Arabidopsis thaliana: one gene and its partners. The protein of the gene in region 2 interacts with the protein of the main gene of each other region in a pairwise test. Each region holds a gene or a part of one and is shown on either strand. Other genes may lie near its edges.

What was found.
Region 1: the proteins of WRKY41 (region 2) and BBX26 interact in a two-hybrid assay, tested with the Arabidopsis thaliana proteins (one large-scale study listed by BioGRID).
Region 3: the proteins of WRKY41 (region 2) and AT5G67411 interact in a two-hybrid assay, tested with the Arabidopsis thaliana proteins (one large-scale study listed by BioGRID).

Annotation. Positions count from the first base shown.
Region 1 is NC_003070.9:22,216,556-22,219,739, forward strand, and holds BBX26 (B-box zinc finger family protein), read right to left. Parts: upstream 1,278-3,184; coding exon 522-1,277; downstream 1-521.
Region 2 is NC_003075.7:6,757,295-6,761,057, forward strand, and holds WRKY41 (WRKY family transcription factor), read left to right. Parts: upstream 1-1,803; 5' UTR 1,804-2,008; coding exon 2,009-2,361; intron 2,362-2,502; coding exon 2,503-2,631; intron 2,632-2,983; exon of another isoform or gene 2,984-3,009; coding exon 3,010-3,469; 3' UTR 3,470-3,500; downstream 3,501-3,763. Other genes in the region: 3xHMG-box1 (HMG (high mobility group) box protein), read right to left, coding at 3,604-3,711. UniProt on the Arabidopsis thaliana protein: Transcription factor. Interacts specifically with the W box (5'-(T)TGAC[CT]-3'), a frequently occurring elicitor-responsive cis-acting element.
Region 3 is NC_003076.8:26,897,993-26,901,755, reverse strand, and holds AT5G67411 (GRAS family transcription factor), read left to right. Parts: upstream 1-2,019; 5' UTR 2,020-2,658; coding exon 2,659-3,092; intron 3,093-3,180; coding exon 3,181-3,355; 3' UTR 3,356-3,679; downstream 3,680-3,763. UniProt on the Arabidopsis thaliana protein: Probable transcription factor involved in plant development.

The DNA of each region.
Region 1 (3,184 bases), on a different chromosome or scaffold from region 2:
TTGTGAGATATTCACGTAAAGTACAACAACAACATCAAAAATCAAGATAATTAGACGATTTTATTGAGAAAATCACATCCCCGGAAATATTGGAGTTGGTTCTTGACTTTCTTAAATAAAATTAAAATCGCAAAGTGAAATTTAATTTTATTGTTGAAAAAAAAATATTATTTAATTCCTATAAACCCCTTAAGCATCGATTGTTAATCAAATTAATTTGTGTTCTTAACATTTTAGCAAAATTGTTTTATGTTTTTTCGGTAATTGTGGTTTCTAGATAGTTTCTAGTTAAATGATGAGATATACATACATCAAGATATGATATCTTCCATCCTCGAACAAATTGGAGTTAGTTTTGACATTTTATTTTCTTCTAACATATTAAATCCAACTGATTGTTTTTTTTTTCTTCTTCTTTTCTTTTTCAAATCCAGAAGCAATTATAACACCAAGAATTAAACCCCTAACGAAAACTCTAAGAAACACACATAAATAAAAAGCTAAAGAAGACGATTTTCTATTCACCTACCAAACCAAGAAAAATCATCAACATCATCTAGATAATCATAATTAATATCTTGTTGAGGTAGTTCTGTTGGGGGCGTAACTGGAATCCCCTCTGCCGCAGGAGGATGAACCGGTGGGAAATTAAACTGATAGCCGCCAATGAGAAAACGGCGAGAAGGTCTCTTGCAGATTACGCAAAGCTTACACCTCGAATGCGGCGGCACCGCGTCCTCGTGACTGTGAATCATCCGGTCGCAACTATCGCATAGAATCTGGTTGTGTGTAGGACAATAAACAACAGCATTTGAATTCGAAGCTACGCATAACTCACATCTCATTGCAAACATCCATCTCTCGCAATTGTTATCCCCGTGGCAGCTCCTCTCAAACATCTCTGCTCTTCTTTGGTGACCACCCACATGCTGCTGCTGATGATTATTGTTATTGTTATGGTGAACCACATGAGGCATATGTGCATGATCATGGTGTTGATTATTCATGTTAGCGAAGACGACTTGAGTTTGATGGCCATTAGTGGCACAATTGTAATGGTGCGAATAACATGATTGACAAAGAACCATCCCGTCCTCATAACAGAAAAGTATAGACGGATACATCGAGCAGTTATCGCAAAGTTGGTAACGTACGTGTTCTGCATGTATGTTATTATGATGGCGAAGGTTGTCACATGTAAGGCAGAAGTTAAGAGCTTCTGTAACACAATGGATCACGGCTGTTACATGTCTACATGTGTGACAAACTTGAGCCATGTTTCCTGAAAAATATTCATATAAGATTATAACAAAATTATCAACTTCGCAAAACGGAAGAGAAGAAACACGAATTTAAAATAAAAAAAAACATTCAACTTACACGAACCAAGGAGAGAAGGAAGCCAAAGTTTTGTTTTCTCTGTGAAACAATCTGTGAAGCTCGTATTTAGATGGAGTTTCTAATTTGTAGATTTTTTTTTAACAAACTGATTATGTAGAAGGATATATTTTACTAAGTTATATACTTATCTTTAACTATAAATTATTCTCAAAATTCAACATTACATTTATTAATTGAGAATAAGAAAGAAAAAAGATAATTATATGATATTTGAAAAATTGATCCTTGTTTCTCATTTTTTTGTTAAGAATAAAGTTTTTTTTTTTCCTTTTATCGGATCTTAAAGATCAGTAAGAATAATGTCGTTTCTTAAATTTTGATGTAGAAATCTTTTTTTTTTGAAGAAAAAAATATCCCAACTTTATCAACATAACCAAACGGGGGACAAACAGGTAAATTAATGAGTTTTTTTTTTTTGTATAACTATTTTGCTTTAGAGTTTAGATTGTTAGCTTAGTACTTACATACTTAAGTTTCTGATCAGTCTTTGTTATGATTTTCACATGTAGGTAGGAAGCTGCGCTTTTGTTCTTTTTAATGTGGAAATGCAGCCTTAACAATGGATGGTATATGAATTTGAAGCTGCTCTTTTGTGTCTCTTTTTTGATGCGGATTAGCATGCTTTTGTGTAAAAAACAACTTTGCTAAGAGTTACTAACTATTCAAGTGTTTGTATGGTTCTGTAATATGGTTTTTTGATACAATGCTAGCTTGAACTTGATGTCATGCTTAGGCCTGGGTACGAATTTCTTTTTAGCATTTAAAAACGGGCAATTCTTGTATTCAGCATCTGTGATTTCTCATTATTTTGTCGTGTAAAGTTACTAAACTAGTTTAATTTAGAATTTATAGAAAAAAAGAAGTGGCTCTCATGACAAGTAGTCTAAATTCAGTAGAACATAAGAGTTATTTCATCACAGTACTAAGAGGAAGAAGAGAAGTTGCTCTGCAATTCCTTGATGCCTTTGGAATCAAGAAAAGAAGTTTTGCCCTTGAGAAAATCAGAGTACCAATGAGCAGAGAGTCTAGGAGATCTCTTGCGATGTGGATCACTGAAATTTACAGAGTACAATCCATAACCATAATCGTACCGCCCTATAAGCTCGAATAAATCCATAAATGACCATACAAAATAGCCTCTAGTGTCTGATCCATTCCTACACGTAGCAATGTCCTTTTCCTTAATTACACGAACAAGATAAGAGAAGAAAAGATGCAATAAAAAAACTTTACTTACCTTATGGATTTGAGCACACCACCAATGTAAGCATTCATGTATTCCACCCTATGTGTATCCTTGTGTTGCGTCATCGGTGTACCTGTTTGTATATGACATTTTAAGTCCAAATCAAAAACATGAGGGAGAGACGAATAAATTAATCATAGAAGAGATTGACCATTCTCAAGAATGTAGACAGGAGGATTGTCATAGCTCTGCTTTATATACTCTAGGACAGCTTCCATAGTCCACGGAGCAACAGGATACTTGTCCAAACAAAAACAAAACAAACAATGAAAGATAGATTAGTAGCACTTATTTGTTTAAAGACTTATAATGTCAAGGAATATAAGGTGTTTTGTATCTGAATTTGGTAGCCTTAAAACTCTTACCTCTATAACTGAAAAATTCCCAAGGTCTTCTAACCAGTAAAACGAAGAAAAAATGAGTAGTAACAAATTATAAAGATAAAAGAGGTTTTTTTTTTGTTATACAAAAGAATGAGTCTGATTCATACAAGTCACATATGCGCCCATGTCTGAGTAGAAGTCCGGGTTTCCAGAA
Region 2 (3,763 bases):
TATTTTTAATACTAAATAGGATATAGATTTGATATGTCATAAATATTATTTTGATATGAAAATGTTATCATTCAATATGAAGTGTGTAGAATTTAAATCGAGTTTATTATGATGACATAGATAGTTAAACTGTATTACAAAATTGAATGTGTAAGATATAAATTTATTTTTTCTTTTTCTTTTCTAGATATTAAATTAAATATAGAATGATGATCGGTTACTTTTTAGAATTCAAATATCATTCATAAGATTGAGTGTGTATAATTAAAATAGAATGGATAAGACTGAAATTTTGTTTAAACCAATAATTATTAAATTAAATATCAAGAAAAATATATTGATTATTATACAAATTTCTATCGATAAAACTTAATTTTTGTATCTTAGACCCGCCTAAATAGCAGATGCTGAATTTAAGAGAATAAAAAAGTTAAATTTTTGTATCTTAATTTTTATATAATAAGATTCTATTTTTTTTAAGAGAATAAAAAAATTAAATTTTGAATGACAAATGTAAACATCTGATCGTTTGACTTGACACGTGGCACGATTCTATGAGTTAGTAACTTAATTAGCATATGTAAATTTGTTTACTTTTTAAGATTTTCTATTTTTTTAAGAGAATAAAAAAGTTAAATTTTAAATGACACATGTAAACATCTGATCGTTTGACTTGACACGTGGACACGATCCTATGAGTTAGAAACTTTGAAAACCATACTTTATATAATAAGATAAGATTTTTAAGACTCTAAATATTTGTTTATAGTTTAAGTATACACTAATGCATCACAATGTCACATTAACGTATTTAACTTTACACAACACGTAGGTACGTGGACTTAGTAATGAAAACGGATATACTTTCAATATGTTATAGCAAAAACTAATCTTCCAAGTCCATTAAGACAAAAAATCAACTAATGGCAGTAAAGTTACAGATCAATCATGAGATATGGAATTTCAGATGGAACTTCTTTTAATTTGATACACTTTGAGTCTTTGACGATGGATGGACTTGGTCAGCAGAAACCTTTTTTTACGATCTTGTATTGAATTATGAATGTATGTGTCATCTCACTTTTCTCTGTAATAGTTTATGGTTCATTTCATACAATCATACTGTAACTTTCTAAGATATCATGGAATTTTGTTTACATCTTTAAATGTTAGAAATTAATTAGAATGTCAAAATACAGTTGAACTTATTTAGTTAGCTCATCCTGATTTTGTACTATATTTTATAATTGAGATTTGGTATCTAATATTTGTGCTATAACTGCTAGTCTGCTATGCTATATATTTCATATTTAAATCTGGTAGACTATCTGAAGATGTTGAACACAAACAAAATAAATGATACAAAAACGGTTGTCGTCAATAGAATAACAAGTTATACAAGAAATGGTTTGTTGCTACCAAAATAGAAATCAATGTAATAGTACATTTTGCAGATAGATATTGAAAAAGAACCTTAACAAAGTTAATACTTGGAAAAGGTACAGTTTATTTCTATCCTAATAATATAATTATTTAGTAAACCACTAGATTTAAATAACTAATCAACTTGGTTAAACTAAAATAAACCCAAAGTTGATTTGGTCAGCATTTGACCTATAGTAAACACCACCACTTATACACTCTGAAACGATATATTCTTAATGAAGACCAAAGACTTTCTCAACTTTGAATCTTTTTCCTATTTGTTTAATAGTTTGCTCACTTGGTCAAATTTTCAAACATATCTTTTAAAACCTTTAAATTCCAAAAGAACACGCTTCGTTTTAGTACATTCTCATCATTCAAATACCAAAAATCTCACATCTTTTTCCTAAACCACAATCACATGTTCTTAATCTAAACCTTACTATAAAAAAGTTAAAAAGCTATCACATCTCTTCACCTTCAATGTCAAAAGTTTTTCCAAAAAATTCATAACTATTTCTTCCGGTCACCGTAAACCGGGGTTTTACCGCCTTTCGAATTTACTCAAGACACTAAAAGTAACATGGAAATGATGAATTGGGAGCGGAGGAGTTTGCTAAACGAGCTAATTCATGGACTAAAAGCGGCCAAGCAGCTTCAGGGTTCGTCTTCTCCATCGTTGTCAGCTTCTTCTTCATATTTGACGACGGAGATAAAGGAGAATCTCTTACATAACATAGTTTCTTCCTTCAAAAAAGCTATTTTGATGCTCAACGGATCCACCACACAACACAATCCAACGATAGAGCTTGCGCCTGATCCCCTAGCTCATCCCGGAAAGGTTCCAGGATCTCCAGCATCGATCACCGGAAATCCGAGAAGCGAAGAGTTTTTCAATGTAAGATCGAAAGAATTCAACTTAAGTTCTAAAAAGAGGTAAAAATTTGAACTTAAATTAGCGTTATAAAGAAGAGAAAAGCTTATTAAAATTTAATAATAATAATAATAATATTAGAATTCAAAAAAAATAGCCAGATTTTTTGAATTAGAGATTTGACAATTAATGAAAATTTGCAGGAAGATGTTGCCAAAGTGGACAGAGCAAGTGAGAATTAGCCCAGAGAGAGGCTTAGAAGGACCTCATGACGATATCTTCAGCTGGAGAAAATATGGCCAGAAAGACATTTTGGGCGCCAAATTCCCAAGGTACATCATCATACTCTATCATCATCATCATAATCATCATGTTTACGAATAGTACATTTGTTAAAAGATTGGTTAATAGCAGCGGATAAATGTTGAGTATAATTATATGAGTAATATATACCTAAAATTACTATTCAAAGTGTATTCTCATATTAAAAACTATTTTGCATAATTTAAATATCGAATATGTAATGAATAATTCTGAATATAATACAAGATAAATTAGATATTTAAAATTATTATCCGAGTTTGCTATATGAAGGTCGGATTTGTATATAATCAGATAGTTTTTTTTGGCTAAATTTACGTGGCTTTAAGAAGAAGAAAAAATTAGTTTTAGTTTTACTAATTTAGGACTAATTTGTGTTTTTATTGCAGGAGTTATTACAGATGCACATTTCGTAACACACAGTACTGTTGGGCTACGAAACAAGTCCAAAGATCGGACGGTGATCCAACGATCTTCGAAGTAACATACAGAGGAACACACACTTGTTCACAGGGGATCCCACTTCCAGAGAAACGAGAAACCAAACCAAAACACACAGTAGCAGTAAATTACCAGAATCTCAGGGCCAGTCTTACCGTACGTACCGGCGGACTTGGAAGCGAAGCTTTCTCATTCCCCGTCACGTCGCCGTTATACACTTACGAGTCCATCAACGGTGGTGGAACGTTTTACCACCACGTGGGAAGTTCTGGTCCGTCGGATTTCACTGGATTGATCTCAACAAATACTTCCACAGGAAGTTCTCCAATCTTCGACGTTAATTTTCAATTTGATCCAACGGCTGAGATTAACACAGGCTTCCCCACTTTTTTCCACAATTCGATTTAAGTAGTACAGTATTGAATATTCTTGAGATTAATATAATCCCGATTAGCGCCTAGCGATTTAAGTAGCAGAGTCATTTTGCATAAGTAGAGATGTTCAATATGAGCAAACTTGAACATTCTCTAATTTTTCTTTCTCTACGACGAAGTCTTGGTCTTATTGTACTCTTCCACTTCTTTCTTGTAAGCTTCCATTAACTCAGCAGCTTTGCTATTGTAAACTTGTTTCTCCTCTTCACCAAGTTCCTACAACAAAATTGTAACCAAAACCAACTCAATTTCACAACTAACAGTGATA
Region 3 (3,763 bases), on a different chromosome or scaffold from region 2:
TTGTTTATTGATTCCTTCCACACATGTCGGATCTGTTTTAAAGTAATAAATATACGTTTTTAAGGATTATAATTCCATTGACTTCAGAGTGTGTGTTCAATGATTTTTTGTTTGTGAGTTTTTTGTCGGTATGTAACAATTATTGTTTTCATATTGGCAAATACATACACCGAAAATACATTAATTAAAATAAGGTTACGTAATTATTCAAACAAAAAATAGTTATAAATTATTGTCACACACTTTTCTTTTCTTTTACTAGATTACAGAAAAAATTGGTATTCACTTGCATGATCAGAACGCTGTTTCACATATTATTAAAGAGGATCGAGAATGTTCGGTAATGTCGGGGGTAATTTGGTAAATCAAAGGATGGGAGGCGTAAAGAATCTGGGGACTTGGGACCAACGGAGATTTGAGAGCGATCGAGATAAGGACCAGACAGTGTTCGAACACGTGATCATCACGTGACTGTTTCCCGCATCGCCGGAACTTATATCCAGACTTGGCATCTTTGGGCCTACTATGAATTTGACAACTTTGACTAATCTTTCCCCATACATATAACTTAGCTGCATATACACGTAACTGTAAGTTGTATATATTTTGAGTAATTTCAAGTACAACGATTTTTTTTATATAAAATAATTCACATTCAATTTTATTTATGTAACAAAGGGATATAAAAATGGGCCCATGTCATCAAGAATCAAGTACTAACTTCGTTTATTGTTCATATGTTTTACGTCAATTCTTTTTGACTGGCTATCATTGTAGCCCAATGCTCTATGGGCCCATAATGGATTTTAATCATTGTATGCTATATTCAATGTGTTTTTTGAGCCCGTTAATATTTCTATTAAGCCCAACAGCCAATACCCAATAGTGGTAGTAGAAAAATACAGTAATACACGATCGAGCGAAATACTAATTTTTGTACTAACAATTTCAGTGTCTTTCTTTATTGATCTACAAAGTGCTCACCAACAATATTAGCATTTTAAAACTATTGTAAATTTAATCTTTCAAAAAAATAAAATTTGTTAGTTGGAACTCACTTTAACAATTAATTTTCTTATATAAACGTATTATTAGAATTTCTTTCTAATTGACTCCTTGACATTGTAGCCCAAGACCATTGCTTCCTATATCTACTTGAATAGTACTTGTCAAAATGCACAGTGCACGAAACGAATTGTCCTTTCACACCCGTCTTGGCATATAAAGTTCTTATTATAAGTGTGATTGGCCCACTCAAGATCGTCTCTACCTTAGCTTATCATATATAATGACAAGGGTAAGAGATAAGAGTGATTAACAATAAATATCTTCTCTAATCAAAGTATCCAACTAATTTAGCTTATCATATATAATGGCATATCAACTCTTATGGTCGAAAATGTTGTATTTGTCGTGGTGTTTAAATCAACGACGCCAAATCCCTAGGTTATATGTCTTCTAGTCCCTGTTAATATCTCAAGGCAAAGGAATCCTCCCCCAACATTGGATTTGATGTGCCCACCTAATCATATATTCTTTGGTCGAATATCTCCTCAAATTTTTGTCTTATACAAGCAAAATATATATAGCCACGGGGCGTGGTAACTACGTCAACAACAAATTAGAAAATCATTAGTTTAAAGATATGAAAAATAGTGAAACCTTTTTTAAAAAAAAATAGTGAAACTTACACACTGAGTTTAGACTGTTTATAAGCAATTTTTTGTGTTTTTTTCCTCCAGTAATTATCTAAACTGGTACGAACTAACAAATATCTATATTATACGAGAACTTGGAGGAAAAAACCACGTAAGAAAAATGTACAAACTGTTACGAATAATAAAATGTTTTGTCCATATACATAGAGATACCACCATAAATGCAGAAGACTACTATAACCTAAATTTAGCTATTTCAGACATATAAACGCCTATATGAATTAAGACCCAGAGAAACGAAAACGAAAGCACACATGACCAGAAAAAGCTGTACACCTACGGTTTTGTCTCGTTTTGAGGATCAGAACGGTGCGTTTCATATTGATAAGGTACTATCAATATGTCTCGTCTCTTTCTCTTTCTTTGTTTCTTTTGCTATTATTCACAAAAACTCTCTTTCGCATTGATTATTATTCCCATTGCTTGTTTGTCTTCATCTTCTTCCTCCTCTGTTCTTTCAAGGGGATCCAAATATGAACACAACCCAAATTCTAAACCCGACCCGACCCATTTGGCCCAGTTTCTCTTCGTCCAAATCTCTTAGCGGTGATGCTAACTGCATGGAGCAGCTTCTCCTCCATTGCGCAAACGCCATCGAATCAAACGACGCCACGTTGGCTCAACAGATCATTTGGGTGCTCAACAACCTCGCTTCACCCGACGGCGACTCAACTCAACTCAAAGACTCGCTGCCTCTTTCCTCCGCGCGTTAATATCACGCACCGCCTCCAAAAGCCCTGCGTTTGCGTTTCTATCACTGGCTGCTACAGCTTCCATATCCCAGAAAACGCTACACCGGTTCTCCGTCATAGAGCTCGCTGAGTTCGTCGACTTGACGCCATGGCACCGTTTCGGATTCATAGCCGCCAACGCCGCAATCCTCGACGCCGTAGAAGGTTACTCATCCGTTCACATCGTTGACTTAAGTTTGACTCACTGCATGCAAATCCCTACTCTTATAGACTCCATGGCAAACAAACTCCACAAAAAACCGCCTCCGCTTCTCAAACTCACCGTCATTGCTTCCGACGCTGAATTTCATCCGCCGCCGTTGCTCGGAATCTCCTACGAAGAGCTAGGTTCAAAGCTAGTAAACTTCGCAACCACACGTAACGTTGCAATGGAGTTTAGAATCATATCTTCTTCTTACTCCGACGGCCTCTCCTCCCTTATCGAACAACTAAGAATCGACCCATTCGTCTTCAACGAAGCTCTCGTCGTTAACTGCCACATGATGCTTCACTATATCCCCGACGAAATATTAACTTCGAATCTCCGATCAGTTTTCTTGAAAGAACTTCGAGATCTAAACCCAACGATCGTAACCCTTATCGACGAAGACTCGGATTTCACGTCGACTAACTTTATCTCCAGGTTTATCTTTTTTCGGTTCTATTTCAAAATTTAAACCCTAAACACTAATGTTTGACCTGATGAGTAAAATGTGTTTTCAAATGTTCAGGTTACGGTCTCTTTATAACTACATGTGGATTCCTTACGATACCGCCGAGATGTTTTTGACACGTGGTAGCGAGCAAAGACAGTGGTATGAGGCAGATATAAGTTGGAAGATAGATAACGTAGTAGCCAAGGAAGGTGCGGAGAGAGTGGAGAGATTAGAGCCGAAGAGCCGGTGACTTGAGCGGATGAGGGAAGCTAAGTTTACCGGAGTTGGGTTCGGTGAGACGGCGATGACAGAGGTTAAAACAATGCTGGAGGAACACGCCACCGGTTGGGGAATGAAGAAAGATGTTGACGACGATAATGACGTGGAACGTTTTGTGCTGACGTGGAAGGGACATAGCGTTATGTTTGCTTCGGCTTGGGCACCACCAAACTAAATTAATGGGGTTGCTGTGCTTATCATGTCTTAGTTAACCCGACCCCGACCCGTTGTGTCTGAATTGTGCTGACTTGCAAACTCTTTTTATTTAGCAAATCAAGTAACATGATTGGTCCGTTAGCTAAACTCTCCAGCTGTATATAATTTTGCACGTGCCAAGTTGACTAAACGTTGACTCCCTCAATGCAGAAGCTTCTTAAAA